Linked DNA regions of Stegostoma tigrinum. The protein of the gene in region 3 binds, or shares a complex with, the protein of the main gene of each other region. Links are inferred from orthologs where the notes say so. Each region holds a gene or a part of one and is shown on either strand. Other genes may lie near its edges.

The links.
Region 1: snrnp200 (region 3) and lsm6 share a complex: the UniProt entries of both Homo sapiens proteins name them as parts of the U4/U6-U5 tri-snRNP complex. The link is inferred for Stegostoma tigrinum from reciprocal best matches to the Homo sapiens genes SNRNP200 and LSM6.
Region 2: the proteins of snrnp200 (region 3) and prpf8 are in contact, whole or in part, in a cryo-EM structure (PDB 7OS2), measured with the Homo sapiens proteins. The link is inferred for Stegostoma tigrinum from reciprocal best matches to the Homo sapiens genes SNRNP200 and PRPF8. Residues at the interface, in NP_054733.2 of Homo sapiens: Pro543, Met544, Arg545, Ser546, Thr570, Gly571, Thr589, Glu591, Lys592, Ile595, Arg624, Arg728, Lys729, Glu773, His786, Ala787, Thr814, Glu837, Tyr992, Thr1008, Ser1010, Ile1012, Leu1041, Glu1042, Arg1043, Val1044, Pro1045, Ile1046, Pro1047, Val1048; in NP_006436.3 of Homo sapiens: Trp2073, Arg2074, Ala2077, Ile2078, Ala2081, His2084, Asn2109, Lys2113, Tyr2168, Glu2171, Met2172, Arg2266, Leu2268, Gly2269, Phe2270, Gln2276, Arg2287, Leu2298, Ala2299, Asn2300, Glu2303, Glu2307, Arg2310, Pro2311, His2313, Phe2314, Leu2315, Asn2316, Phe2317, Ala2318.
Region 4: snrnp200 (region 3) and srrm1 share a complex: the UniProt entries of both Homo sapiens proteins name them as parts of the minor spliceosome. The link is inferred for Stegostoma tigrinum from reciprocal best matches to the Homo sapiens genes SNRNP200 and SRRM1.

The regions. Positions count from the first base shown.
Region 1 is NC_081354.1:46,941,635-46,949,160, reverse strand, and holds the start of lsm6 (U6 snRNA-associated Sm-like protein LSm6), read right to left. Parts: upstream 3,009-7,526; 5' UTR 2,969-3,008; coding exon 2,875-2,968; intron 407-2,874; coding exon 293-406; intron 1-292. UniProt on the Homo sapiens protein: Plays a role in pre-mRNA splicing as component of the U4/U6-U5 tri-snRNP complex that is involved in spliceosome assembly, and as component of the precatalytic spliceosome (spliceosome B complex).
Region 2 is NC_081380.1:24,517,616-24,525,613, forward strand, and holds the start of prpf8 (pre-mRNA-processing-splicing factor 8), read left to right. Parts: upstream 1-4,990; 5' UTR 4,991-5,116; intron 5,117-7,998. UniProt on the Homo sapiens protein: Plays a role in pre-mRNA splicing as core component of precatalytic, catalytic and postcatalytic spliceosomal complexes, both of the predominant U2-type spliceosome and the minor U12-type spliceosome.
Region 3 is NC_081393.1:10,285,256-10,292,736, reverse strand, and holds the start of snrnp200 (U5 small nuclear ribonucleoprotein 200 kDa helicase), read right to left. Parts: upstream 3,009-7,481; 5' UTR 2,922-3,008; coding exon 2,877-2,921; intron 2,113-2,876; coding exon 1,949-2,112; intron 1,116-1,948; coding exon 944-1,115; intron 118-943; coding exon 1-117. UniProt on the Homo sapiens protein: Catalyzes the ATP-dependent unwinding of U4/U6 RNA duplices, an essential step in the assembly of a catalytically active spliceosome. Plays a role in pre-mRNA splicing as a core component of precatalytic, catalytic and postcatalytic spliceosomal complexes.
Region 4 is NC_081377.1:23,968,491-23,976,072, forward strand, and holds the start of srrm1 (serine/arginine repetitive matrix protein 1), read left to right. Parts: upstream 1-4,574; 5' UTR 4,575-4,641; coding exon 4,642-4,662; intron 4,663-7,582. UniProt on the Homo sapiens protein: Part of pre- and post-splicing multiprotein mRNP complexes. As a component of the minor spliceosome, involved in the splicing of U12-type introns in pre-mRNAs. Involved in numerous pre-mRNA processing events.

The DNA.
Region 1 (7,526 bases), on a different chromosome or scaffold from region 3:
TTGGGTATCTGTGGGAGGTCCACGCTCTATTCCTCATGGGCATCAAGGATTTAGTGTGTTTTAAAACAAACAGCATGGTTTTCTTCAGGAAAGAGACAGAAAATGATACAGAAACAAAATACTGAAAGAAACAGTGTCAGACAGAAAGCACAAAAGAGTCATGCAAGCAACTAATCAGTCCTGGGAAGAATGCTTTTTTTCAAAAACTTTCTCAATATACAGTTGTAGTTTTACAGTCCATTATAAAGCATAACTTTCAAATTTTATTTAGAAAGGAAAGAAGTGAATTTACCATTGTTGCCTCGAATAAATGCATCTCCATACTTGTTCTTAAGTTGACCATTTACATATTCTTCTGTTTGTTCCAATGCTATATTCATATAACCATCCAGACAGGCCAAAACACCTGGCAAAAATGATACAACTGTAATTAAAATTTATTAAAACCCATTATTAGAATGTTCGGTGTAACATAGCAATGATGCAGAACTGGCTCCAAGGTAGAAGATCATGGGTGGTGATGTACAGTTGCTTTTCAGACTGGGGGCCTGTGGCCAGTGGTGTGCCACAAGGGTCAACGTTGGGTCCATTACTTTTCATCATTTATATAATGAGCGTGGAAATTGCAGGGGTACTGGCCACAATCTTTCAGTCTCCCCTGGTCTTGGAGGAGATGCCAAGGATAAGCCAATCATTACAGACTAATCAGGTTAATTTCAGCATTGGGGAAGTTTTGAGACAATTATTCAGGATAGAATTAATAAACACATGGAAAATGGCGGGTTGATTAGAAATCCACACTGATTCTTCCTAAAGTGGAAAATGGTGTTAAACTAACTTGGAGCTTTCTGAACAGGAAACAAAAATGCTTGAAGAAGATAACATTGTTGAGGTGGTGCACACGGATATTGAAAAGGTGTTTGGTACAGTGCCACAACACAGACCTGTGAGGAAAGTTATAGCTCATGTTATAAAAGGGTCACTAGCAAAATGAATAGAGTAATATATTTTTAGACTGGGCAAAGGTTTTTAAGAGGAGATCCCCAGGGGTCAGTATTGGGGCCCTTGCTTCTCCTGATAGATATTAATTATCTGGATCTTGATGTGCAGGGGCAATTTCAAAGCTTGCAAAAGATATATAGTGCGGAAAAGGTTGGTGGAGTGGGCACATGGGCAGTAGATGCATTTCAATGCAGAGAAGTGCAGGTTGAAACACTTTGGTAGGAAGAACATTGAAAGCCAATATTAAATAGTAGGCACACTATGGAGGATGCAAGAGCATAGGGACCTGGGTGTGTATGTGCACAGATCTTTGAAAGTGGCAGGACAGATAAAGGGAGAGCAATAAATAAAGCATACAGTAGCCACAGATTAATTAGTGGAGTGCAAGAGCAAGGAGGTGATGCTGAACTTATATAGACACTTGTTAGACCTCTGCTAGAGTACTGGGTACAGTTGTGGGTGCCATGTTATCGGAAAGATGTGAACACATTGAACAAATTGCTGAAGCGATTTGTAAAAGGCTAAGCGTAGATCTGATAGAGGTTTTCAAGATCATGTAAGGGCTAGACAGGAGAGTGACAGCGAGAAACTGTTCTTATTTGTTTCAAGAACATAGATATGAAGTGATCTAGAGTGCAAAGTAAGCAAGGGTGAAGTGAGGAAAATTACCTTCCTTCAGTTAGGGTATGGAATTTACTGCCTAGAATTGTGGTGGAATTAGGTTCCATTGAGGCATTCATGAACTCACCAGCTGAAATTATATGCAAGGGCTTGGGGGGAAAGCAGGAAATCAGCTCTGGGTAATGATGCTCATTTAACAGTGCAGATAGAAGGCCTCCTTCTTTGCCAAAAAGTCTTCGGTGATTTTGTGACCCGGTCTTTTTTAAACTAGCGTTTAAGCAGCTGAGGGGGACGATTCCAATACAGTAAGTCCTCACTTTAAGTGGTTTTGTTTCGCATTGTTTTGTTTTAAAGATATTTATTCTTCAAGGCCTGTTTCCCTAATCAATTTACGGCATGACTTCTGATTTTACCAAGTTTGTGAACGCACTTGCCAACAGAAACGTGCAACACTGAAGTTGAACATCATAGCTGTGAATTAGGTTACAAGTGAATTTTTATATTATGACAATCTATTGAAATTCAGGCAAAGAAGACTGGAAATTCATTTGAAGGGACTGTAGGGCTTATATCCATGGTACAGGATTAAATGTTTTGTCCTAAGAGCTAATAATGACAGAAAGAAAATCATCAGGGCAACTACACACTAAATATGGAGGAGATTAAAAAATGCAAAAATGAAAATACAGCATTCTGTGATTTTTTTTAAAAATGCACTTCACTGTAAGACTGGAAGCACTATACGAGGTGGGAAGGGGAAAAGGTTCCAGAAGCTTACAGAAGAAAATACAATAAGACTACCTGAGGAAGTTAGATTAAGGGATAGTGGACTAGGATTAGGGACCTTCCTTTAACTTCTCTTGAATCATGGACTAATCAAAATTTTACACCACAAAAGAAAGTTATTCGGCCTATCACTTTGGTGCTGGCTTTTGAAGCAGCTATCCAACCACATGTATTCTCACGTCTGGCTCTTATTGCATAGCCCTCTTCAATTTATATAGAATTTCTTTAACATTTCAAATGACTTGTTCTGTTTTGCAAATTATTTCAATAGGAATGCAGTGTTGCACATGTGAAAAATGCTATTTTGACTTGTTCATTTGGTTTGTCCAGGAACGAATGTCCAAAAGGTCCCAACAGTAGTTTTAAACCTGATCCCTATGGCAACTCATGGTTCACTCAGTTATTTCACTTGAAGTTGAAATTTTCAGGAATTCAAATACAATTTTAAGTGAGGGCTTACCGTACCTCGATAATCCACGCCCGAGTTCAGTTTGACTACCACTGGTCTCCCGATGATCTGTTTTAGAAAATCACTTGGTGTTTGCTTTCGCAGGCTCATTTTTTTAATCCTTCAGCCTGCATCAGAACAGAAACATTTCCTAAATGACAATACAAGCACACATAATTCAGAACCAACTTTGCAAAGAACTGACATGGGCTTCTACAATTATAACAAACTGTTATCATCAGTTGAGAGCACTAGTGAGAAAGAGGATGAGTGAATGACAAGCAAAAAGGCAGTGGCTAGTATTAGCAGAAAATTCTTTCTTTATCTCCAAAAGCATCAATTTAAATTTAGTAATTTAAATTAATTGCAGAGTAAAAGCTGGATACTTCCAGGAAAGAAAGAGAACTTCAATATAATTTGTTATTTAAATTGTGGATGAAGTTTTGTAGGTAGAGTTTAGGAATAAAAAAGGGACAGCTGGATTGCTAAGTGTTTATTGTAGACTCCCAGAGAGCTGACAGGAAATTGAGGAGCAAATTTTTGCACCATTTGTTGATGTGTGTAAAAATAACAACTAAGGATAATTATAACATGTGATTTCAACTTTCCCAACATTACCTGGGATAGACATAATGTTAAGTGCTTGGATTGAGTGAATTTCTTGAAATATGTACAGGAGAACCTTTTAGGCCAATATACAGAGGGTCCTGGTCCCAATTCTGGTGGTGGTGAGGGAGCATTTTAGTGATAGCAATCACAACATGGTATAATTTAAGCTGAATATAGAAAAAGAAATAGGTAACTTGCAAGAAAAAAAGAGTTTTGGATGGAGGCAAAGGGCAGATTTTAGTAAAATACATTAGGATCTGGTAGACTAGTGAGGAAAACTACAGAAGAACAGTGGGGAACATTCAAAAAGTAAATGGAGAGGGTACAAGCCTAACATGTTCCCTCCAGGGATACGGGAAAGAATAACAAGCCCAGAGAACCATGGATGATCAGAGATATTCAGGATACGATAAGAAGGGAGAAAAGAGGCAGGCACAAGCAGAGGCATTAATGGAGATTAATGGCAATTAGGAAAGCAAAAGGGGATATGGTAAAAGTAGGGAAAACACCAAGAGATATTCTACAAGTATAAATACATCAAGGGGGAAAGAGTGTAACCACGGTGAGAGCAGGCCCCATTAGGGAACAAGTGGGCAATTTGTGGCTGGGGCCAGAGGACAAAGGTAAAGTCGTGACCCAATATCATCTATCTTCACTTAAGAAAATGAAGATGAAGATATAGAACCCTGGGGGAAAGAGACTGCGAGGTGCTTGAGCAAATTGCCATAGGGAAGGACAAGGTTTTGGAGGTGCTGGCAGGCTTAAAGATGAACAAATCTCTGGGTCCAAACAAAAAGGCCTACTGGTATTATCGCTGGACTGTTAATCCAGAGACCCAGATAATGTTCTGGGGACCTGGATTTGAATTCCACCATGGCCAATGGTAGCATTTGAATTTAATAAGTATCTGGAATTAAGAGTCTAATGATGACCATGGATCAAATGTCATTGTTGGAAAAACCCATCTGGTTCACTAATGTCCTCTAGAGAAGGAAACCACCTTCATTAGCTAGTCTGGCCTACATGTGACTCCAGGTCTGTAGCAATGTGGTTGACTTTTAATTGCCCTCTTGGCAATTAGGGATGGGCAATAAATGCTGCCAAGCCAGCCACACCCTCATCCCATGAATGAATAAAGGAAAAAATGAAATTGTGTCCTTGGCTGTTGTAGGAGGACAAGGAGGAGATTGCAATGCCACTGACCCAAATTTTTAATTCCTCTCTGGCTCCAGGTGAGGTACCAGAGGACTAACGTGGTTCTGATATTTAAGGAAGGTTGCAGAAATAAGCCAAAGAACCCTGAAGGAGAGCATCTACCTCCACTTGGAGAGGAAAGGTTTGATCAGAGATGGTCAGCATAGCTTTGGCAGAGGGAGATCATGCTAACAAATTTGATTGAATTTTTTGATGTGGTGACCAGTGTATAGAAAAGGGTGGTGCAGTTGCTGCAGTTTATATGGATTTCAGCAAAGCCTTTGACAAGGTCCCACACGGGAGACCTATCATGAAGGCAAATGCACACAGGATACAGGGTAATCTGATAAAGTGGATTAAAACTTTACTCAGTTGCGACAGACAGAGGGTGAATGTAGAAGGCTGCTTTAGTGAATCGAAGTCAGTAACCAATGGCATACCACAGGCAGGTGTGCTGGGTCCTCTTTTATTTGCCGTTTACATAAATGACTAGATGATTGTGCGGGGGTTTGGTTTAGTAAGTTTGCGGAAAATTCAAAGATGGGTCAGATGCCTAACAGTGAGCTTGAGTGTCTTGAGTGATAAAAGCATATAAACAGGATACTCAAATGGGCAGATAAATGGCAGGTGGAACTTAACCATGAAAAGCATGAGTTAATACGATCTGAAAGGTGTAATCTGACAAAGAAGTATTCAATCATCAGAATGACACCAGGAAGTTCTGTGGACAAAGGGACCTTGGAGTATTTATCCACTGAAGACCCAAGGACATGTCTGTAAAGTGGCGAAAAAGACATACAGGACACTTGCCTTTATCAATCGAGGCATAAAATACAAAAGCAAGGAAGTCATGTTGGAGTTGTAAAGAACTTTGGTGAGACACAGGTAGAACATTGCATGCAGTTCTGGTCACCACGTTATAGGAACTGGAGAGTGCGCAGCAGAGATTCACCAGGATGCTGCCTGGGATGGGAAATTTAAGTTTGAGGAAAGGCTGGATAGGCTTGGTTTTTTTTAATTGGGGCGTAAGATTGAGGGGTCTTCTGACTGAAGTGTACAAAACTAAGGGGCATGGACAGAATGGATAAGGAGCAGCTGTTGCACTCAGTTAAACGGTTAGCCGAGAGGACGCACAGGTTCAAGGTAAGGGGCAAGAGGCTACAGGAGATGGAAGGAAAACCTCGTTTTTTTAAACCCAGGGAATGACGGTGGTCTGGAATGTGCTGCCAAGCAGGTTGGCAGAGGCAAATTGTCTCACATCCTTTAAAAAGTACCTAGATATGTTCTTGGAACATTACTGCATTCAAGGCTATGAGCCAAGTGCTGATAATTGGAATCAGAATGAAGGTCAGGTCCTTCTCATGGGTAGATGCACATCTGATGGGTCAAAGGACTTCTGCACTATACAATTCGACAATTTTGCAACTGCACTTTCACTTCAATCAGAAAATGACAGGTTCTAGCCCCATACCAGTCTCCTTAACACATTAAATAGGCCAATACTTTGATGTTGTACTGCATTTAGGGGAGTTGTTATTAATGCCCAGCTCATTAAGGAAATTATGTTGGCATGAGATGTGATCTAGCTATGACAAATTGGGGATTATTATTTAAAAGGGATAATGACAGGCAGGTGATGGCAAAAATTTCAAGAGCTCATGGATGAACTGTAAAGATTATTTATCCCAGTCTGGTATAAAAACAAAACAGGAAATGTCTTCTGACTAAGAGGAGAAATTAGAGTTAGTATTAAATCCAAAAAGGGAGGCATGCAAATTGGCCAAATAAAAAACCCAGCAGATCTGAGGATTGAGAGAGTTTAAATTCTAATACAGGGAGACATAGGGACTGACAAAGGGAATTTATAAAAAGGGAACAAAAAAACAGACCAATCAAATACATACTTTAGTTCTGTCTTTGAAAAGGAAAACACAAACATTCCAAATATGGGGTGGATGTGAGGGCGGGGAGTGGCTGCCCGGAGGCTGATAACCTTCATACCAGAATACTAAGGAAGTTGCCCCAGAAATAGCAGATGTGCATCTTCCAACATTCTACAGACTCTGGAACAGTTCCTACAGATTAGAGATAATGGGGACTGCAGATGCTGGAGAGTCCAAGATAACAAAGTGTGAAGCTGGATGAACACAACAGACCAAGCAGCGTCTCAGAAGCAAAAAAGCTGACGTTTCGGGCCTAGATCCTTCATCAGAGAGCTCCTGAGATGCTGCTTGGCCTACAGATTAGAGGATAGCTAATGAAACCCACATTTTAAAGAAGGGAGGCACAGAGAAAACACACATTCTAGATCATTTAGCTTGACATCAGTAGTGGGAAAAACATTAGAATCCATTGTAAAAGATGTAATAGCACAGCATTTGGAAGTGACAAGGAGGACAGAGTCAGCACAGTTTCATGAAGGGGAAGATGTGCGTGACAAATCTGCTGGAACGTTTTGAAGATTTAACTAGAGTGGATGAGGAGGAGCCATTGGAAGGGGTTTACTTGGATTTTTAGATTGTTTTTGACAAGGTTCCACACAAAAGACATGAATATGTAAAATCAAAGTGCATGAGATCTGAGGTTGTGTACTGAAATAGATTGAGCACTGACTGGCAGACAGGAAACAAGGAATAGGAATTAAATTTTTCTGAGTGGCACCAATGCCTACTGGGATCAGTGTTTGTATCTCAACTATTCACAATATATATTAATGGTTTTGGAGGAGCAAACTGTGTATCATATCTCCAAGTCTGCAGAGGACATAAAGATGGCTGGGAAGGCAACCTGTGAGCAGAGAAGCTTCAACGTGATTAGGACAATTGAAGTGAACGAGTAAAGTCACGGCCAGAGAAGCATTATGTAG
Region 2 (7,998 bases), on a different chromosome or scaffold from region 3:
ATAGTGTGGACAATGAGAGCCTTTTTCCTAGGATGGTGATGTCTAGCACAAGGGGACATAGCTTTAAATTGAGGGGTGATAGATATAGGACAGATGTCAGAGGTAGGTTCTTTACTCAGAGAGTAGTAGGGGTGTGGAATACTCTGCCTGCAACAGTAGTAGACTCGCCAACTTTAAGGGCATTTAAATGGTCATTGGATAAACATATAGAACATAGAACATTACAGCACAGTACAGGCCCTTCAGCCCTCGATGTTGTGCCGACCTGTCATACCAATCTGAAGCCCATCTAACCTGTACTATTCCATGTACGTCCATATGCTTGTCCAATGATGACTTAAATGTACTTAAGTTGGCAAATCTACTAGCGTTGCAGGCAAAGTGTTTCAGTCCCTTACTACTCTCTGAGTAAAGAAACGACCTCTGACATCTGACCTATATCTTTCACCCCTCAATTTAAAGCTATGCCCCCTCGTGCTCGCCGTCACCACCCTAGGAAAAGGGCTCTCCCTATCCACCCTATCTAACCCTCTGCTTATTTTATATGTTTCAATTGAGTCACCTCTCAACCTTCTTCTCTCTAACGAAAACAGCCTCAAGTCCATCAGCCTTTCCTCGTAAGACCTTCTCACCATACCAGGCAACATCCTAGTAAATCTCCTCTGCACCCTTTCCAAAGCTTCCACATCCTTCTTATAATGCGGTGACCAGAACTGTACACAATACTCCAAGTGTGGCCGCACCCAGAATTTTGTACAGCTGCAGCATAACCTCTTGGTTCCGGAACTCGACCCCTCTATTAATAAAAGCTAAAACACTGTATGCCCTCTTAACAGCCCTGTCAACCTGGGTGGCAACTTTGAAGGATCTGTGTACATGGACACCGAGATCTCTCTGCTAATCTACACTACCAAGAATCTTACCATTAGCCCAGTACTTTGCCTTCCGGTTACTCCTACCAAAGTGCATCACCTCACACTTGTCTGCATTAAACTCCACTTACCACCTCTCAGCCCAGCTCTGCAGCTTATCTATGTCTCTCTGCAACCTACAGCGTTCTTCGTCACTATCCACAACTCCACCGACCTTAGTGTCGTCTGCAAATTTACGAACCCATCCTTCCACGCCCTCATCCAGGTCATTTATAAAAATGACAAACAGCAGTGGACCCAACACCGACCCTTGCGGTACACAACTAGTAACTGGTCTCCAGGATGAACATTTCCCATCAACTACCACCCTCTGTCTTCTTTCAGCAAGCCAATTTCCGATCCAAACTGCTATATCTCCCACAATCCCATTCATCCGCATTTTGTTCAATAGCCTACTGTGGGGAACCTTATCGAATGCCTTGCTGAAATCCATATACACCACATCAACCAGTTCAATCTCATCTACCTGTCTGGTCACCTTCTCAAAGAACTCAATAAGGTTTGTGAGGCACGACCTACCCTTCACAAAACGGTGCTGACTATCCCTAATCAATTTATTCTTTTCTAGATGATTATAAATCCTATCTCTTATAACCTTTTCCAACACTTTACCAATAACTGAGGTAAGGCTCACTGGTCTATAATTACCAGCATTGTCTCTGCTCCCCTTCTTGAACAGGGGAACCACATTTGCTATCCTCCAGTCGTCTGGCAGTATTCCTGTAGACAACGACGAGTTAAAGATCAATGCCAAAGGCTCGGCAATCTCCTCCCTGGCCTCCCAGAGGATCCTAGGATAAATCCCATCCGGCCCAGGAGACTTATCTATCTTCACACTCTGTAGGATTTCTAATACCTCTTCCTTGTGAACCTCAATCCCACCTTGTCTTGTAGCCTGTATCTCAGTATTATCCTCAACAACATTGTCGTTTTCTAGAGGGAATACTGTCGAAAAATATTTATTTCGTGTTTCCCCTATCTCCTCTGACTCCACACACAACTTACTACTACTATCCTTGATTGGCCCTAATCTTACTTTCGTCATTCTTTTATTCTTTAAATACCTATAGAAAGCCTTAGGGTTTTCCCTGATCCTATCCGCCAACAACGTCTCATGTCTCCTCCTGGCTATTCTGAGCTCTCTCTTTCGGTCTTTCCTGGCTACCTCGTAGCCCTCAAGCGCCCTAACTGAGCCTTCACATCTCATCCTAACATAAGCCTTCTTCTTCCTCTTGACCAGAGATTCCACTTCCTTCGTAAACCACAGCTCCCACACTCTACAGCTTCCTCCCTGCCTGACAGGTACATACTTATCTAGGACACACAGGAGCTATTCCTTGAATAGGCTCCACATTTCTAATGTGCCCACCCCCTGCAGTTTCCTTCCCCATCCTCTGCTCCCTAAATCTTGCCTTATCTCATTGCAATTGCCTTTCCCCCAGCTATAACTCTTGCCCAGTGGTATACACCTATCCCTTTCCATCACTAAAGTAAACATAACAGAATTGTGATCGCTATCACCAAAGTGCTCACCTACTCCCAGTACCAAATCAAATGTGGCTTCGCCCCTTGAAGGCCTATCTACATACTGTGTCAGGAAGCCCTACTGCACACACTGGACAAAAACTGACCCGTTTATAGTACTCGAACTATAGTGTTCCCAGTCAATATTTGGGAAGTTGAAGTCCCCCATGAAAACTACCCTGTCTCTCTCACTCCTATTGAGAATCATCTTTGCTATCCTTTCCTCTACATATCTGGAACTATTCGGAGGCCTGTAGAAAACTCCCAACAGGGTGACCTCTCCTTTCCTGTTTCTAACCTCAGCCCATACTACCTCAGTTGACGAGTCCCCAAACATCCTTTCTGCAACTGTAATACTGTCCTTGATCAACAATGCCACACCTCCCCCCCCTTTTACCATCTTCTCTGTTCTTACTGAAACATCATAATCCCGGAATGGGATTGATATGGATGATAATGGAATAGTGTAGGTTAGATGGTCTTCAGATTGGTTTCACAGGTTGGCACAACATTGAGGGCCAAAGGGCCTGTACTGCACTGTCATGTTCAATGTTCTATCTATTGTTATTTGGATCATAATCTGCCTTCCTAGTTTTGCTACCAAAGTTAATAACTTCACATTTATCCACATTATACTTAATCTGTTATGCATTTGCCCATTCACTCAACTTGTCCAAATCACATTGGAGTATTTCTGCATTCTCCTCACATTTCACTCCCCAATTCAGCTTTGTGTCCTGTATAAATCTGAAGACATTATATGTAGATTCCTCATTCCTTTACATTGTGAATAGTTGAGGTCCCAGCACAGGATCCTGTGGTAGCTCATTAGTAATTGCCTTCCACTTGGAAAAAGGCCCATGTTTCTCTGCCACTGCCGGCACCTTCCCCTGCAACCGCAGGAAGTGCTACACTTGCCCCCACACCTCCTCCCTCACCCCCATCCCAGGCCCCAAGGTGACTTTCCATATTAAGGAGATGTTCACCTGCACATCTGCCAATGTGGTATACTGTATCCACTGTACCCGGTGTGGCTTCCTCTACATTGGGGAAACCAAGCGGAGGCTTGGGGGACTGCTTTGCAGAATGCCTCTGCTCGGTTCGCAATAAACAACTACACCTCCCAGTCGCGAACCATTTTAACTCCTCCTCCCATTCCTTAGACGACAGTGCCACAATGATGCCACTCGAAGGTTGCAGGAACAGCAACTCATATTCCGCTTGGGAATCCTGCAGCCCAATGGTATCACTGTGGACTTCACAAGCTTCAAAATCTCCCCCTCCCCAAATGCATCCCACAACCAGCCCAGCTCGTCCCCTCCCCCCACTGCATCACAAAACCAGCCCAGCTCGTCCCCACCTCCCTAACCTGTTCTTCCACTCACGTATCCCCTCCTCCCACCTCAAGCTGCACCTCCATTTCCCACCTACCAATCTCATCCCGCCTCCTTGACCTGTCTGTCCTCCCTGGACTGACCTATCCCCTCCCCACCTCACCACCTATTCTCTCCTCTCCACCTATTTTCTCCTCTATCCATCTTCGGTCGGCCTCCCCCTCTCTCCCTATTTAGTTCAGAACCCTCTCCCGTCCCCCTGTCTGATGAAGGGTCTAGGCCCGAAATGTCAGCTTTTGTGCTCCTGAGATACTGCTTGGCCTGCTGTGTTCATCCAGCTACACACTTTGTTATCTTGTTTCCTGTCAGCCAAACACTACCACAGTACACTACCCCCTATCCAATGTGCTTTAATTCTACAAGCTAAGCTCTTATGGGACCTTATCAAAATTCAATGTAATTTACTGTATGCGCATTAATGCATCCAATTTAAAATTCCAATCAATCCCTTGTCCATCTTGATTTCCGTAAACTTTTCCAATCCTACAATTCCCTTCAACATCGCCATTCCTTTAATTCTGATCTTTTGTGTATTCCTCCACTCTTAGCTGCAGCAAGGTAGCTCTGCTTTCATCCACAAAAACAAAGTTGCTGGAAAAGCTCAGCAGGCCTGGCACCATCTGTGAAGGAGAAAATAGGGTTAATGTTTAGGGTCCAGTGACCCTTACTTAGAACTTTCAGCCAACCTGCTACTGCACTCTGGAATTTCCGATTTTAATCTCTTTGCTTTTCCTAGTTCCTTCAAGATCTATTTTTATCATCTCCCTAAGCTTTTGGTCGCACCTCCTGTTCCTATCATGTATTCATGTTTGAACTGAGTGTCCAATACACCCCTGTATAGTATCTGAGACATTTTTTGTTAAGATAAATGTTCAACATTGCCTTGGTTGTGCACTGATGTTTCTTAATTGAAACAGTTGACACGGAATCCAGCTTTTTTTTAAACTCTTTTTCCTATTTTCAGGTGGTAGCACAATCATTGTGCACTTCACTGTAAAGTCTGATTTAATCTTCTTTCAATGCACTTGTTTTCAAAAGTCTACCTGGAGAGTTCTGTGTTCTGAGTGGCTGTAGCGGTCATCAATCCGACTGACTGACCAATGGGAGGCTCACACGGACAGCGGAAATCCCGCCCTCAGCATCCGGGCACCCTGCGCTGGAGCCACTTTTGCTGGCGGAGTTAATGGCGCCGAGGCCCTGAGGCCTAACGCAAGGCCAACGGGGAGAAAAAAAAATCGTCGCTCGCATTTTTTCCTGTCGTCGCAGGTGCGTTCAGCGTAGGCATTTCTGTGCGCTCTGGGCATATGGGTCGGGATTTAGGCTGGAAGTGAGTGGAGGTTGAGCCCCAGGGACTCGGCTCGGCGTGCGGCCTAATGGGTTTCTATTGTGGCGCTCGGCAGGCGAGGGAGGAATCGGTCCAGGACACCTCAAATATGGACTCGCTGGACTGGAACCTTCCAGGAGAAATCGTAGGGTTTTCTTTTTAATAGCACGGAAGAAGGGCTGTTCGTGTCTGTGCATCCCACGTCTAGGATGAAGGGTCTAGGCCCGAAACGTCAGCTTTTGTGCTCCTGAGATGCTGCTGGGCCTGCTGTGTTCATCCAGCCTCACATTTCATTATCTATTCACTGCAATCCTGTTTTCCAGCATTTGGCCCGTAGCCTTGTGTGCGATGGCGTTTCAAATGCTCGACTAAATGCTTCTTGAATGTCTTGATGGTTCCTGCCTCGACCATCATTTAGCCAGTGCCTTCCAGGTACCCATCACACTCTGGGCGGATGAAACTTTTTCCTTAAATTCCCTTTCAGCCTCCAGATCCTTAACTTGAATCTGTGCCCCCTAGTTATTGATGTCTCTATTAAGGGCTTGTGTTTCTCCCTACGTCCCTCAACTTTCATACACCGCGATCACGGTTCCCCAATCAGCCTTCGCTGCTATAAGGAAAACAACTCCTGCCTATCTAGTCTATCTTCATAGCTGAGGGGTTTCTCAAATATTCTGGTTAATATGTATAATAATTTACTAATATATATATGTATGACTCCATTATAGCCACCTTCCTGTTGTATTCAATACTTTGAATAATAAAGATACATACCTGATATCATTCATAACATCTGACCTGCTGCCTACATGAATATATGGACTTGCATACCAAGGTTCCCGTGATCCTGGGTATTTCCTTAGGTTCTACCATTCAACGGAAGTGTAAATTTTCTTCCCCTTTGTCCACTAACTTCTCTTCCATCAACCCCAGCGTTCACTCCAGAAGAGCATAACGTGATCTGTTTGCATAGTTTATTATTCAACAGGATTAATACTGCACATATTTCTTGCTAAATATATTTTAGACCAATGTAGCATAATCTGTAAGACTATTCACAAGGAGGATGCAGGCAAATTTGAGCCTGTATCTCAAAGGGAATCTTAATAAGGGAGAGGAGAAAAAGAAGAATTTTGGGAGCAAGTGGGACTCATTGGTACAAAAAACTTCTGTGGATGCTGGCAATGGGTTAGGCAGCATAATGATTACAAAAAGTTATATGTCAGGCTGATCTTTTGTCACAATCTATACCCAGCTCTCTCAAACAATTGCATGGATTGCCTCCTCCTGTATTTTATGATTGTAAAACTTAATAACATTTTAGGCATAGATTTAAATCCCACTTTCAAGTGTACATTTTTAAATGTAATTGATGGGGTTTAGGTGTTGCTGACTAGGCTAGCATTTTTATTGTCCATCACTAATTGATCTGGAGAAGGTGGAGTTGAGCTGCCTTTATGAATTGCTGCAGTCATTGGGTATAGGGATACCTTCAGTGCTGGTAGAAAGGCAGTTCCAAGATTATGACCTAGAGGGTAATGATCTGGATCTCAGTCAGATGGTCACACATGTTGGTTTTGGTATGTGGGGTCTGGGCCCGAGACGTCAGCTTTCGTGCTCCTATGATGCTGTTTGGCCTGCTGTGTTCATCCCGCTCTATACCTTGTTATCTGTTTATTTGGAAATGTAACTTGTTTATCATAACTTCTCCAAGAAGTCAGCACAACATCGTGGGCTGAAGGGCCTGTTCTGTGCTGTACTGTTCTATGTTCTATGTTCTATAATGCTAGACAATCTTGTCAAAATCCTGGATGTTCCATTTTCTTCCAAAGGTTGAGCTACTGAATAGCCATAGACAAGATTTTCCACTTGCTGCAGAGTTCTGAAATATTACGACTGTTGCCCAAAAACGTGCTTGGTCCTTAGGGAGTTGGTGTGTGTTGACATCAAAATTTGATGCAGGTCATGTTTGGTATAGAAGTTGCTGATTCTGGGAATCGAAGATTACTGAAATGCTGTCACTTGGCCAGGCAGTATTTTTAGAGAAGCTTGGGTTTTGTAATATGGTTAAGGTTTGCATGGTGTTGTTTAAAATAATCTGACTTCATTAGTTTTATCTATCATTTCAGAGAGCATGTGTACATTAATAAATGCATCAGCCATTCTGTACCAAAATCTAAAACAACACAATGAGAAAAATAAACTTTTTTTTGGGATTGGTCAAGAGAAGTCTCTTGCTGAGAGCACCAAAAGAGTTGCGTGTATCAGTTCAAGCTATGCAAGGGAGCATGATGTTTGCTCCAGGTTTTTATGCTTTGTTCGACATGACTGTCATATGGGATTATGAATTCATGTTCCATTTTGAAAGGCAATTCCTTAATCTTTTGGCTCATTTCAAAATCTGAGCAACTGAAGCTGACATAGTAACTTGAACATCAGTGTTCCATGAGAAATGTTGATTTTATTTTTACAAAATATTATCTAAAAGTCTGACTCCCAATTTGTATATTCAAAAACATTCAAAGAAAGTCTCAAAATGGATGTTTCAAGTGCAAACAATTGAATATACAGATGTTGAATGCTTTATTAAAGCAGTTTATTGCATGTACATCCACGGGTATGCATTAAGATAATAGGGCAAAACGTTTAGCATACTAAATGTATTTATCTGGGTGAAATGTTATGGATCAAAAGCATCTGCTAAAAATGGAAAATTTTTTTCAATCCTCTGATCTACTGTTGTGGATTGCAGCTCAAGTTGTGTGAATATGAGATTTGGATGTCAATATATGTGACCGTATTTATATGTAATCAGAGCCGGTTT
Region 3 (7,481 bases):
ATCCTCCAACTGTCCCAGGAGCATTTCTATTTCCTTCCGTCGCTCTTTGTCACGCAGTTTATCATTTTTCAGCACAGCGAGGACCTCATCTGCTGCTCCACAGAGAATATCACGTGGCTAGAAAGAAAAGCCCAATCAATATAGAAAAATTGCCAGCTAATGCAGATGCAATACGTCTCCCTGTAACAATTTATCTTCCTTGTTCAACCTCTAAAGTGATCATTGATGAATTACTGCTCACGCTGTCTATGGCACATGCATCTGTCATATGGAAGTAGGGCAGGCAAATCAGCATGTTAGCTCAGTGGTTAGCACTGCTGCCTCACACTGCCAGAGACCCGGGTTCAATTCCAGCGTTGGGCAACTGTCTGTGTACAATTTGCACATTCTCCCTGTGTCTAACTGGGTTTCCTCCAGGTGCTCCGGTTTCTGCCCAGTCCAAAGATGTGCAGGTTGAGTAGATTGGCTATGCTAAATTTCCCGAAGTGTCCAGGGATGTGCAACTAGGTAGGTTAGCCATGGGAAATGCAAGGTTAAGGGAATGGGATGGATCTCAGTGGGATGCTCTTTGGAGGGGTGGTATGGCCTCGATAAGCTGAATGGCCTACTTCCACACTGGCCGTGGTACAGAACGCCTCAAAGAGCAAGAGTCAAAGAAATCAAAGGAACGGAGTCAATCAACTTTGACTAAGTCTCAGGTACAAATCAGGTTAAAAGTAAAAGAACCTAAAGGAAGACAAATGCATGCAGTGGAAGTGCTGAAACATCAACATCCCAAGAAACAAGCCAAGACAAATGGAAACCATCCCCTTTGCATAAAGTGGCATCCTGTCTGTGATGTAGTAGATCTTAAAATTAGTTAATCATTAAAGAGATCAGTTATGTCCATCACTTTTAGTAGCAGGGGATCTGTCTGGGATATTTTTTCACTGGAGACTCTCACCTGGTCACCAAGTGCAGCCTGAATGAAACTGAGCAACACCTCGTAGGTCTCTCTGGTCTCCTTTGTTTTGGGTTTGTACACAATTCCAACCATTTCATCAATGCCCTCTGACAACAAAGTGTATCCCCTCATTTTGTTCATGTCATGTCGGTCTTCATCACGCTTTCTCCTTCTGCATGAGACAAATTCAAAACATTTTAACAGCCAAGAAATTCAAGTAAGAATTCTCACTTAACCAGAGCACAAATATATATTTGTGCACAAAACCACCAATCTAAAGGATGGGTTGAAAAGTGCCCAATCTGATTACAAATAATCTCCCCTGTGCAGAATAGGAAGCTCCAAACGACTGAAATTTGACATGCTCAACTGCAAACCTCCCTCAACTACTATTACAATGAGTAAAGAAAGCCTTGGCACTTATTCAACATTTCAGTACACCACTGAAAATGATAGACAGGAGCCGGACTGGACTAGTCGCTTTGTGGAGTGACCCTCTCTTTTGCCAATTCCCCACATCCCTCAATTCCCCGAGACACCGAAAACCTGTCTATCCTATGAATGAGTAGATACCTGTTCTGAACCTTCATGGTTCTTTTGAGTTAAGAGCAAGATATAATCTGTGGAATGTAAAGACTAGGATGTGGACTGTTGAGAAACAAATGCTTGTAAATGTTCATAATGTTGCTTACATTAAATAACACCATGCACCAAAGTCATATGTTTCCCACCATGAGGTGGAATGATTATTTTACTATCACCTCAGGTCTAAATTTCTTGTTTAATCTGACACCTTTGCTCATTGTGAAGCATTAAAATTTTTCAGTAAACCAAAATATCAAGTGCTTTGAACTGATTGACCCACCTTGTCTGTTTACCTGCATTTTACCAAAAAACATTTTATCATTCAGGATTAAACTTTTTTAGTTCATAAAGATAGCTTATTAGTATAACTCTGCTCCCAACTCCAAATAAACTGTGATATTTGACAAGATATGTCCTTACTTTGCTCGTCTTTCCTCCTGCAACTGTGGCTTTGTTCTCTGAGCTTTGTCTCCCATTCGCGACCCTTCGAGCTTTCCAACCAGAGACAGCACTTCTCCTGTGGGCTCATCTCGTCTTGTTCGGTCGATCAGTGAACGATCTGCTTGCAATACAAGGTTGGAGTTCTGCAAAAAGAATGAAGAAACTAGTCTTATTCTCATATGGAGCGGTTTGCACAAACCTGTCGGTATTGCAAGATAACAAAATGTGGAGCTGAACGAATACAGCAGGAACTTCTGTGCTCCTAAGATGCTGCTTGGCCTGCTGTGTTCATGCAGCTCCACACTTTGTAATCTTGGGATTCTCCAGCAACTGTGGTTCCCACTATCTCTGTCAGTATTGCACTTGGGTGTAAACCATGCAAAATTTCCAGTCCTTGAGCAAAGTTGGGAATTACACATATTTCCCTGTATCCCTTCCAAAATTACTGATTTTAGAGGATTTTCACGAGAAGTTGAGGGTCGATTGGCATTTCCAAAAAAAACCAGCATTCATTTTTGTCGAGAATCTGATTTCAAAATTGCCCAATACTAATTTTTTGTTGTGGGATGGAACTGGGACATAAATTGTGTACTCATTTAAGACAAAGAATGAAAATAAAAAGCCATTAGAAACAATTCGATAACAATGACAAGGGCTCTAGAGACGTGTTCCTAGGTTGCCTGGAGGTCCCTTCAATTTCCTGATTTCAGCTCAACAGAGATGCCAACCCAGTTCTTATGTCGCATTCACCACAGCAAGGGCTAGGCCTCAACCTGGCGGTGTGCTTAACAGTGGCACTGTACTCGCCCAATTCAGCTCTGGCCATGCAAGCCCGCGCACGACTGTATCCAGCCTGTCTAGGGGATCAAACCGAGGGTTATCGATCCTCAACACCGACAGCACTCACCGCTTTGTACTCATACTGCAGGCTACGAGCAGTAACATCCGCCATTGCTGCTTGGCGATGCCTCCGCCGCCGGATGGCACTCAAACCTGACCTCCGGCCGCCGCGGATTCGCCTTCCGGGTCAAAGCCCAACGGTCTCCATGGGAACGGGAAACCCGCATCGTTTCTCAACGCCAGTTTAATTTTCCCTTTGGCGACAGGTGAGTTCCTGAAACATGGCCAGTATTGTTTACTTTTTATTTATTTGTTTAATTCTGTCGCCACCGTAAACAACGGTTATCTCACCCCCTTGGAAGATAGCAACCGTTGGCTGTCTCCCGCCATTTTCGACACTTTACCCACAATTTCTTTTACCCTTCCCTCCATCTGGGGGGAGTTCGGGCAGTTAAATTGGTCCGATGCTCTTTACTGCGAGGGGCAGAAACCGGGCATCACTGCTTATCCCGCATCAGCTGGAGACTTGGCCAACTGAAGTCAGGACAGGGAAGGTTGAATAGGACGCAATGAGCTTTTTGACACCATCAGAGGGCACCACCTCACCCCAACCTGTCAAACATGAAAATAGATGCCGGCGTTTTCTGTTAGTTCAAGCTGCTAGAGTTATTCATACTGTTTGCTTCCAGGCCAAAAAAAGGCTTTTCAGTGCTGGGTTCGCCGCTTTAATCTCTCTGTTCCCTACTGCACCTCTTAATATCACTTGTCTTCTGGACGAATAATAATCTCTCCAGATCTCCCGACAGCAATTTTCTCCCTTATATTTTCCAGCGATCTCGGCTTCTTTTCTCCTGTAACATGCATAGTCTGCAAGAAAAATTTTGCTCAGTGCAGTCGTTTTGTCTTCATTCTTAAAACCGTAAGACCATTCGAAAGAGGAACAGGGGTAGGCCATTCGGCCCTCGAGTCTGCTGCGCCACTGGATGGGATCATGATTGATCTTACACTCCTCACATCCACTTTCCTGCCCTTTCCCCAAAACCCTCGATACCCCTACTGATCAAGAATGCATTTGAGCCTTAAATATAGGGTTCTATGCAACACTGGTAGTGTCCCTATTCTCTCTGCCCGGAGACCCAAGTTCACGTTCCACCTGCTCCAGTAATAACCTCTCTAACAGGTTGAGTAGAAAATCCCTCCACAAGGACTGCTGTGTGCGGCAAGGAATTCTGAAGATTTGCAACCTTTTGAGAGAAAACATTCTTGCTCAAATCAGTCTTCAGTTGCCATTCCTGTATTCTGAGACTATGCCCTCTAGTCTTTGACATTCTCATGAGAGGAGATGTCGTTGCAGGAATTACCCTGTCAAGCACTTTAAGAATCTGATATGTTTCAATGACATCACCTCTCATTCTTCTAAATTTCAGTGAGTAGCTGTGGAGGCAAAGTCATTGTGTTTCTTTAAGACAGAGATAGATTCTTGATCAGTACAGTGATCAAACGTTATGGGGAGAAGGCAGTAGAATGGATTTGAGAAACGTATCAGCCACAATTGAATGGCAGAGCAGGCACAGTGGGCTAATTCTGCTCCGATAACTTACATAATGGTGCTTCCCCACCACTGGTTCCATATCCCATGAATTTGAACCCGTTTTTCCCATACCAATCTTTGAGTCACATGTATATGACTTTAATCTCATTGATCCTGTGCCAGCGAGTTTTGAGAAGATTTGTAGGTCAGGTTGAGGTTCTGGATGTGAGTTTGCTCGCTGAGCTGGAAGGTTAGTTTTCAGACGTTTCGTCACTTTTTTATTTGAAAAAATATACTTGATTCATAAGATGTACAAAAAATAAAACATATTTACACACCTACCCAGTCATGCAAGCCGCTCCGGGTGACCCAGGGGGTACATACACCAACTAAAGGAAAAAAAAACAAAAGAAAAAATAAAGCAAAGAAAACACCCCAGCAGTCGTCACCCCCGCACAGTCCCCGTTGGCTCCCTGACCAGTTGGGGAAGGCGCCAGCTGGGCCCATTTACCAGATACGGCCCTTTTTTCTATTCTGGATGAGGGGTTTCATACTGTGGTCTTGCCCACCGCGCCTTGGCGGCGGCTGCCCCAAGCTTTAGCGCGTCCCTCAGCACGTAGTCCTGGACCTTGGAGTGCGCCAGTCTGCAACACTCGGTCGGGGTCAGTTCTTTCAGCTGGCAGACTAGCAAGTTGCGGGCAGACCAAAGAGCGTCTTTCACCGCATTGATGGTCCTCCAGGCGCAGTTGATGTTGGTCTCGGTGTGCGTCCCGGGAAACAGCCCGTAGAGCACGGAGTCCCGCGTCACGGAGCTGCTCGGGACAAACCTCGACAAACACCACTGCATCCCCCTCCAGACCTCCTGCGCATAGGCACACTCCAGAAGGAGGTGATCAACAGTCTCGTCTCCCCGGCAGCCACCTCAAGGGCAGCGTGCGGTGGCGCAGAGATTCCGGGCATGCATAAAGGATCTCACTGGCAGAGCCCCTCTCACCGCCAGCCAAGCAATGTCCTTGTGCTTGTTTGAAAGTTCTGGCGATGAGGCATTCTGCCGAACGACTTTAGCAGTCTGCGTGGGGAACCACACGACGGGATCCACCCTCTCCTTTTCCCGAAGGGTCTCGAGGATACTACGTGCTGACCGCTGCCTGACGGCCTTGTGGTCAAAGGTGTTTCTTTCAAAAATTTCTCCACGAAGGACAGGTGGTATGGAATGGTCCAACTACTCGGAGCGTTCCGCGGCAACAAGGCCAGGCCCATCCTTCGCAACACCGGGGACAGGTAGAACCTCAGTAAGTAGTGACACTTGGTGTTTGCGTACTGAGGATCTACGCACAGCTTGATGCAGCCGCACACAAAGGTAGCTGTCAGGGCGAGGGTGGCGTTCGGTACGCCCTTTCCCCCCATTTTCCAGGTCCTTGTACATGGTGTCCCTGCGGACCCGGTCCATCCTCGACCCCCAAATGAAGTGGAAGAAGGCCCGGGTGACTGCAGCGGCGCAGGTCCAGGGAATAGGCCAGGCCTGCGCCACATACAACAGTACCGAAAGCCCCTCGCACCTGACAGCCAGGTTCTTACCCACAATGGAGTGGGACTGGAGCGTCCACCTGCCCAGCTTCTGCTTCAATTTGGTGATACGCTCCTCCCAAGTCTTAGTGCACGCCCCAGCTCCACCAAACCAAACACCCAGCACCTTCAGGTAATCTGTCCTGACGGTGAAGGGGATGAAGGAGCGATCGTCCCAGTTGCTGAAAAAGATGACCTCGCTCTTACCCCTATTGACTTTGGCACCCAAGGCCAGTTCAAACTGGCCGCAGATGTCCAATAGTCTACTCACCGACCAACGATCGGTGCAGAAGACATCGTCCATGTACAGGGAGGTCTTGACCTGAAGGCCTCCGCTGCCTGGGATAGTCACGCCCTTCAGGCTCACGTCCTTCCTGATGGATGCAGCGAAGGGCTCCACACAGCACACGAACAAGGCAGGAGAGAGCGGGCAGCCCTGCCTGACTCCAGATCTAACAGGAAAACTGTCTGATTCCCACCCGTTGATCGAGACTGCGCTAACGATGTTGGCGTAGAGCAGCCGGATCCAATTGCGGATGCCCTCCCCGAACCCCAATTTGGAGAGGACGTCCCTCATGTAAGCATGAGAGACCCTGTCGAAGGCCTTCTCTCGGTCCAGGCTGACGAGGCAGTTGTCCACCCGCCTGTCCTGTACGTAGGTGATCGTATCCCTGATGAGCGCGAGGCTCTCAGCGATCTTCCTGCCTGGCACAGCACAGGTTTGGTCAGGGTGAATCACCGACTCCAGGACAGACCTGACCCGGTTGGCTATGACATTGGCCAGGATTTTGTAGTCCACATTCAATAGTGAAATGGGACGCCAATTTTTAATTTCTTCCCTCTCCCCTTTCTTCTTGTAAACGAGGGTGATGATGCCCTTCCTCATGGACTTGCACATTTCCCCTGCCCGAAGCGCACTATCGTACACCTCCAGCAGGTGCTGGCCGACCAGGTCCCACAGAGTGGAACACAGCTCGACCGGTAAGCCGTCGCTTCCAGGAGTCCTATTCCTCTCCAAGGACTTGAGGGCTCTGGTCAGCTCGTCCAGGGATATCGGCCGGTCCAGCCACTCCCTCGTGCCATGTCTAAGACCTCCGTGAGAGACGACAGGAATGACTCGGAGGCCGTGCTGTCCATGGGCGTCGTGTTGTACAGTCCGGCATAGAAGGATCTGCTGATCCTCAAAATGTCGGGCCGAGACGACGTCACCGAGCCGTCGTCCTCCTTCAGCCGGCTAAGCACAGAGCTCTCTTTGTGCACCTTCTGAAAGAAGAAACGCGAGCATGTGTCGTCCTGCTCCACGGAGCGGACCCTGGACCGGAAGATTATCCTGGAGGCCTCCGCGGCGAAGAGCGAGGCTTGCTGGCCCCTCACCTCGCGGAGGACCTCTGTGACATCGACCCCCATCAACTGCAGAAGGAGCAGGTTCTGCACCCTTTTCTGGAGTCGTGACAGCTTTCCCCGCTCTCTCGCCTTCCGAACACCCTTGAGGACAAAGAACCTCTTGATGTTCTCCTTCACCGTCTCCCACCAGTCGCCCGGAGACTCAAAGAGGGGTTTCACGGTTCTCCAACC
Region 4 (7,582 bases), on a different chromosome or scaffold from region 3:
GGCATTGTGGGTCAATCTGCAGCATGTGGACTGCAGCAATGGCTTAAGATGATTCGTCTGGTTGTTCATGTTCACTTGTTCAGAATTAAGTGATCTGTTGTGCATAGGTTCCTCAATGCAATAACCAGCTCTGCATTGTAAAGACTCCGCAGTTCATCAAGATGAAATTTGACACTCTGCCATTTCACTGTCATTTTTCACTCACGCCTGTCTCAACTTCTGCTTTCAAAAGATTTTCACAATTGTAAGAGGAATTTGGTGCGACGTGATATTAGTCTTTGTGCTGGACTACTTTCCATGCCTCCTCTAAGCACATTGTCCATTCAAAGATTACCTTGTGCAAGTCTGTGCTGGATTTCTCAATTTCTTCAGTTTTAGATTTGATTCGCTAGAGTGTGGAAACAGGCCCTTCGGCCCAACAAGTCCACACTGACCCTTGAAGCATCCCACCCACACCCAAACCCTAAAACCCACACACCCCTGAACACTATGGGCAATTTAGCATGGCCAATCAACCTAGCCTGCACATCTTTGGACTGTGGGATGAAACTGGAGCACCTGAGGAAACCCATGCAATCACGGGGAGAACATGCAAACTCTACACAGACAGTCGCCCTGGACTGGGATCGAACCCTGGTCCCTGGTGCTGTGAGGCTGCAGTGCTAACTACTGAGCCACCGTGCCACCTATATTCCTTTGGCGATTTTCACTGCTACCTGGCCTTTCCATTTGAGTGGGAACGGCGTAGTGATGTTGTATGGTGTTAAATTGACCTATCCTTTGTGAAGTGCCTGAAGTCTCCCCTTGGAAATTGAGGGCCATTGCCACGTATCACAATATCTGGAATGCTGTAACAACTAAAGAATGCTTTCAGGTATTGTATAATCTTAATATTAGTTGTTAATTTCAGTCAATATAAATCCCAGTAGAGTAATTAATGGTGACAAGATAAAAAGACAAGCCCCTGTGAGAGTGGAGGAGCCTACTACAAGCTTCATCCATGATCAGGCTGGGATGTGATATGACCAGCTTTTGACATCCAGTGATGTTACCATCACTGAATCCCCCATTATCAACTTTGAAGGGGTTACAATTAACCAGAAACTCAACTGGGAATTGCCACATAAAAGCCTGTCCACCATCAACAAGGCACAAGTCAGGAGTGTGATGGAATACTCACCACTTACCTGGATGAGTGCAGCTCTAACAACACTCAAGAAGCTTGACAACATCCAGGGCAAAGCAGCTGCTTGATTGGCACCATTTCAACAAGCTTCCACTCCCTCCACCACCCATGTTCAGCAGCAACAGTGTGTACTGCTTACAAGATGCACAGCAGATTATTCACCAAAGATTGTTAGTCAGCACCTTCCACACCTACTATAATTTTGATCTAGATGAACAAGGGTAGCACCACTTAATGCATGTTCCCCTCCAAGACACTCTCCGTCCTGACTTGGAAATATCTTGGTGTTCATTTAGTGTTCATGTGTCAAAGTTCTGTAATCTCCTCCCTAATGGCATTGTGGGTCAACCTGCAGCATGTGGACTACAGCGGTTCAAGAAGGCAGATCACCACCACCTTCTCAAGGGCAAGTAGGAATGGGCAAGAAAACTGGCCAGCCAGCGATGCCCAATTCATGTGAGTTATTTTTAAAAAAACCATAAAACCATCAGAAATAGGAACAGGGATAGGCCATTTGACTCCTTGAGCCTGGTCTGCCATGCAATCGGATCATGCTGATCCAATATGCCTCACATCCAATTTTGTCCTTTTTCCATGATCCTTGATTCCCTTGGTGATCAAGAATCTATCAACCTCAATCTGAAATATACACAGAACTCTGCCATACAGCTCTCTGTAAAAAAATTCCAAAGAATTTTTGCCCACTTTCTTAACCATCAATATTTCTCTGTAAACTGTTTGTATCCTTTCTGGAATCTGTCTTTCTACCTATTTCCGTGTTGTCTGCAAACTTGGCTGCAGAACATTCACTTACTTCCTCCAAGTCGTTAATATTTATTATGAACAGTTGCAGTCCCAGTACTCATCCTTGTAGAACCCTATGACCGACAGCCATACTAGTATGAAAACACCCAATCTTGTCTGATCTCGGAAGCCAGGCAGACCCAGGCCTGGTTAGTACTTGAATGGGAGAGCACCTGGGAATACCAGGTGCTGTACCCAGATCCTGGGGCAGGTTAGGCAGAGACAAGCACAAGAATTCCTAGAAGTATGGCACTCCAAAAGCCTGCTATTAATAAACACATTGAACTCAACCCCATTTCCATTCCACTACGAAGGAAAAACCAGAAGTGAGGTAATCCATCGCAACGGACCCCAGAGTTTAAAAACTAGGTGGGGAAACACACCGACGCTTAATTGGAGGCTGCACTGAAGATGTTAACCAGCACAGTAATGAAACATCTGCAAAACAAGAAACCAGCTGGGCGAGCCATCCAACCTCAACAACCTCAATTACACACACTCATGTTGCTTCAATCTTGCAGGAAGTTTGTCATGGTTGTCAGCAGCCCTCAATCAAGTGAAGGGTGACAGCCTTCAGTCAGAGGCTACCAAAATAGTAAATCAAGGAAAATCTCCAACACCAGTCCAAGGACATAGCACGGTCAGCCACCTGGAGCAAAGTCAGCATCCTTTCCTCATTGGGGGTAAGCACCTGACTGCTGGCCAGTCCACCACCAGTCTTGACCATTTCTTTTCCATTGTAGACTGTTTTTCTCCTGGAATGAGAGAGAGGCAGGTACTAAGGCAGATGAAGCTGGGTGGCACACTTACATTTTTTACTTGTGGGGAGATGTCCTGGTCGAGGGAGTAGACAGCACCGAGGGCATGCAGGCATAGAGATGCTGGGGTTTAGTGGGATGATAGCGAGTGAGGGAAGATGTTGCAGGCCTTTGTGGGAGGTGGGTACAATAGCTGGGACTGAGCGAGTGTGAGATTTGGAAAGAAGATGGTTGCACTGACTCTGGCAGGCAGGAGAAGGACATTGACTATACATTCCCGCAGACAGCTGATACTGCTTTAACCGGGCGGCAATTTTAACTGGGCGGCAATATTGGACCAGGCTGCTTGTTCTGGGACCATGCTGTCCTCTCCTGGAGAAGTGGAAATACCAGCTTTACATCTCTCTTTCCAATGCAATCTCCCAAGTCTTTGCTTGCAAAGTGAGGGACCGGTTTCCCCTATAACAAATTGTGAAGCTGGATGAACACAGCAGGTCAAGCAGCATCTCAGGAGCACAAAATCTGATGTTTCAGGCCTAGACCCTTCATCAGAGCAAGTCTAGCAGACTCTAGGCCCGAAACATCAGCTTTTGTGCTCCTGAGATGCTGCTTGGCCTGCTGTGTTCATCCAGCTTCACACTTTGTTATCTTGGATTCTCCAGCATCTGCAGTTCCCATTATCACTGGTTTCCGCTTGTCTGTTATGCCAGGGACGAATATCAGGAACTGTGCACACCAGCTCTAGGTGCCTGTCTGGGTGCACAATGGACTTTCGAAGATGGAGTAGGTGCAAGGGATTTTGGTTAATTTCAGGACATCCCATGGGTGGCTGAAACAACATGTGGCATGATGGAAGTGAAATTGAGCACAATTTTTTTCACCGTGTTGGGGGCTGGAGGGGATGATGGTGGTCAATGAGTTGAGTTTGGTAAGATACCCACTATCTTTGTGATGAAAAGCTCTCTAAGAACACATAAAACTCATATTTAGCCAAACAAATTTAAGATTCAGCTCTATATTTCAAATGATGCTGATTCAAATGACTGCCACAGATTGTGTGTAAGGACACTTTCAGTGGAAGTAGTGATCACATGATATTGTCAGCCCACCCTCTACACCAAGGTTACAAATGTATTTCTGCAAAAGGACTTATTTATGAGGATGGCAATGTACCAGCAACATGTGGCCTGTACTATGACGTTCAAGTCCACCCTAAAGTTAAGGTTTGGGCCTCATTCATCTTCATGTGAAAAGCTGATGGCAGCCGCTGTGTCTCCTCATAATGGTCATCCATTTTGGAAGAAGTCTAATTTTGGCTCATTTGCCTCACCAGTTGCAGACCAAAGCCAAGGAGTAAAAGAAAGATGTTTGGGGATTGGGGAGTGGTTATCCATAAAGTGGAATTAGTTGGTCAGGTTCGGTTAGAGATGTTGCGGCCCCGTGTATCGTTTAGACTACACGGGTTAAGTCTCTTGTAAGACGAGTCATTGCAAAGATTTGAAAAAAAATGCATATGCTCCAGAGTGAAATTTGTTATCAAGACTGCTCAAAGACGTATAAATGCGTGACACAAGACTGAAGTGGATCATATTATTAAATGGAAATTTTATGAGATTCAAGCCACTCAGGCAGCACGTGTTTGAATTTAACTTGTTGTTCTGTTGCTACAGTATTTGTGAGTGAGTGCTCAGACAGAACAGCAAATCAACGTCTGGTTCCGTCTCCCGGGCTGCGAGGCTTCGGCTGTTTCCGCAACAGGGGCTGCGAGCGCTCGGCTATTTCCGCCATGCGGCCTGTGCGGCCTCGGCTGTACCCGTGTACCGGAAGCTCCTTGAAGAACGAACGGGTAAACCGGAAGTGGGTGATCCGGCAGCCCCTCCACAGACAGACAAGATGGACGCGGGGTTTTTCCGCGTAAGTAGAGCAGCAACCGAGTAGAGCTTGTTTGTCGAGCCCGATTGGAAAGCTCATCCATTGTAGTGGTGGCCGGAACAATTCAAAGGACCGGCGGACCTGTTCTGGTTGTTTTAAATGCATAAAACTCGGGTCTTTTCCCTGAATACACGTAACTGCGGATTCGGCCTTAGCAACCGAGCGGGAATGAAAATGGCGGCGGGTGGCAGGCTTTTGATGGAGGGGAGGGAGGCAAGGGAGCCGTACTGTGGGTTTGGTTTTTGTCTCTCCAGCTCATCTGTTCGTCTAATTTAATTCATTGCACCTTGAGTGTAGCTAGGGAGCAACATGTCTCATTTTAGTTCTGGACGAAACCCGGGCAATTTTATTTTCCTTGAGGGATCGGTTCTAATGCGGCAGCCAGTGGAGCCGAAGCCCAGCAAAGTGCCTGACCGACTCTTAACACAAATCTTAACTCCGTGGTTCGAATCTTAATCCGGTTCCTCCCTGTTGTTTTTTGGAGCTCTTCTGGCTTTTGCACCGAATGTTTCAAACGGTATTTTTGTTTCTGAGGCGCAATTGAATGACTCCATTAGGGCCTGGTTCTCCAGCATGGTCGCAAATAGAGCGTCGTGTGGTTCGAGGCTGAAAAATGGACCCAAGCTATCTACCACGCGAGGGGAAATACAGTCACCTTTAAACAATCAAAGTACTCGTTCGTTTTAGATATAATAGACATCCAAGCGAATTCATGACTCGATTAATTTCAAAGCAGATATAATCCGAAGTAACACTTCAAATATTTTATTTGGAATTAGAGATAAAATTGCTTTAATGTAGAACAGATTATCGGGTGAGCGAGTTACAGTTTGTGCTGGATTCTAGATTTGTGTTTTTTGTTTAAAAATTCAAACTAGATTCAGTAGTAAAACGTCTTTAACTTGCTGCAGTATTGTATTGTTTCCCTTTATTCTGACCAGAACATTGTATGATTGGAAAGTCCAGATTTGTATGGTACATATCAGACATTTAAGTGTTAATACAAATTGTAAGTAATGAAAATGGAGCAAGTTGCAATTTATTTTTGGAACTGTTTGACACTCAAAAACTTGTTCATCCCTTCAGTGCGTTGCTTTTATCATGCTATCTGACGTTTTGGTTGACAGTTTTTGCTTTTTGGTGACACATAGTAAAAGCTGGTTTCTTCTATTTTGGCCATTTCAGAAAATCTAGTGCTTAGCTTATCATTAATTTGTTGCAAAATAATCTTTTTTAAGAAATGAAAAATAATCACAGAAACAAGTTTGGCAGTAGCAGAGAGTAAATTTATTTCAGATCTATGATCTTTCATCAGAGGTAGGGGGAATGTGATAGGTTTTTTAAAAGTGAAGTGGGGGGAGATTGATGAAAGGCTAGATCTGATAGCCTAATCTATCCCACCTCCTACCCTATTTAATGGGATGTGGGTATTGCTATGAGGCCAACATTTATTTCCCATCTCTCATTTCTCTTGAGCTGAGTGACTTGCTGGGCTGTTTCAGTAGCTAGGAATCAACCACGTTGGCCAGACCAGGTAAGGATGTTGATTTTTAATGGCAATTGATACTTTTATGATTGCCAGTGCTGAAACTAGTTCTGTATTTCAGATTTGAATGCACTTTTGCTGGATACTAACTGATTTTTGGATTACTTTATCCATTAAAATTAATGACAGCACTGTATCTTTTTAAATGACAAAAATGATCTTGCAACAAAACTAATGGGATTGATAACGGAGTAAATAAAAACAAAATGTGCCTTGGGGCGATGTGATTGGTAGGATCATAAAATCCAAAAGAGAGCCAAGATAAATTAGAAACAAACCTGCAAGGGGAAAGAACAGGACCAGAGGTTATGATCTAAAGCCCCTAATTAAAGCATAAGATGATGATCCTTGAGCTAGTCTTGGAATGCATCAGATGACTGACAGTGGCAAAAATCAACGGGAATAATTTGTAGATTTAAAATGATCAGTGACTGGAAGCTTAGGGCCATGTTTTTGGACTGACTGTAGAAAGTTGTGCAAAGGGCCTGCTTGATTTACATTTGGTTTCAGTATGAAAAATTATCCACATTGTCAGTGGAATAATTAATTGAAATTTCAAGTAAATTGATATTTCACCTGGAAGCATTGTTTGGGGGTTTTGAAGATTACAATTGAGTTAGAGAAGGGTAGGTATTTTATTATGCATGAGGGTTGTGGAGGTGACTGAGTAGTAGGTCTCTAAGTTGCAGAGGACATAATCCTTTTCTATTTATTTGTGAGATGTGAGCATCACTGGCTAACCAGATTTATTGACCATCCCTAGTTTCCCTTGTAAAGGAGGTGGTTAGTTGTAGCCTTGAACTGCTGCAGTCGCTTGCTGCGCGTTGACCCACACCACCCTTGGGACAGAATTCCAGGAGTTTGACCCAACAAAAGATATATTTCCAACTCAGGATGGTGAGTGACTTGGGGAACCTGTTGATGTTCCTGTGGGTCTGCTGCCCATTTCCTTCTAAATGGAAGAGGTTGTAAGTTTGGAAAGTACTGTCTGAGGATCTTCAGTGAATTTCTGCACTGCATCTTGTAGATAGTACACATGGCTGCTAATGATTGTCAGTGGTGGAGGGAGTTGATGTTTGTGGATGTGGTGCCAATCAAGTGAACTGCTTGTGTGTTGTCAGAGCTGCGCCCATCAGTCAAAAGGAAAGCATTCCATTACATTCCTGACATGATTTGAGGTGTCTGGCAAGTAACTCACCTCCTTAGAATTCCAAGCTTCTGACCTCCCCTTGTAGCTACTGTTTATGCGGTGACTTCAGTTGAGTTTCTGGTCACTGGTAACCACCCAGATGTTGATAGTGAAGGATTCACAATGTCAAGGGGTGGTGGTTACATTGTTTGTTATTGGCGATGATA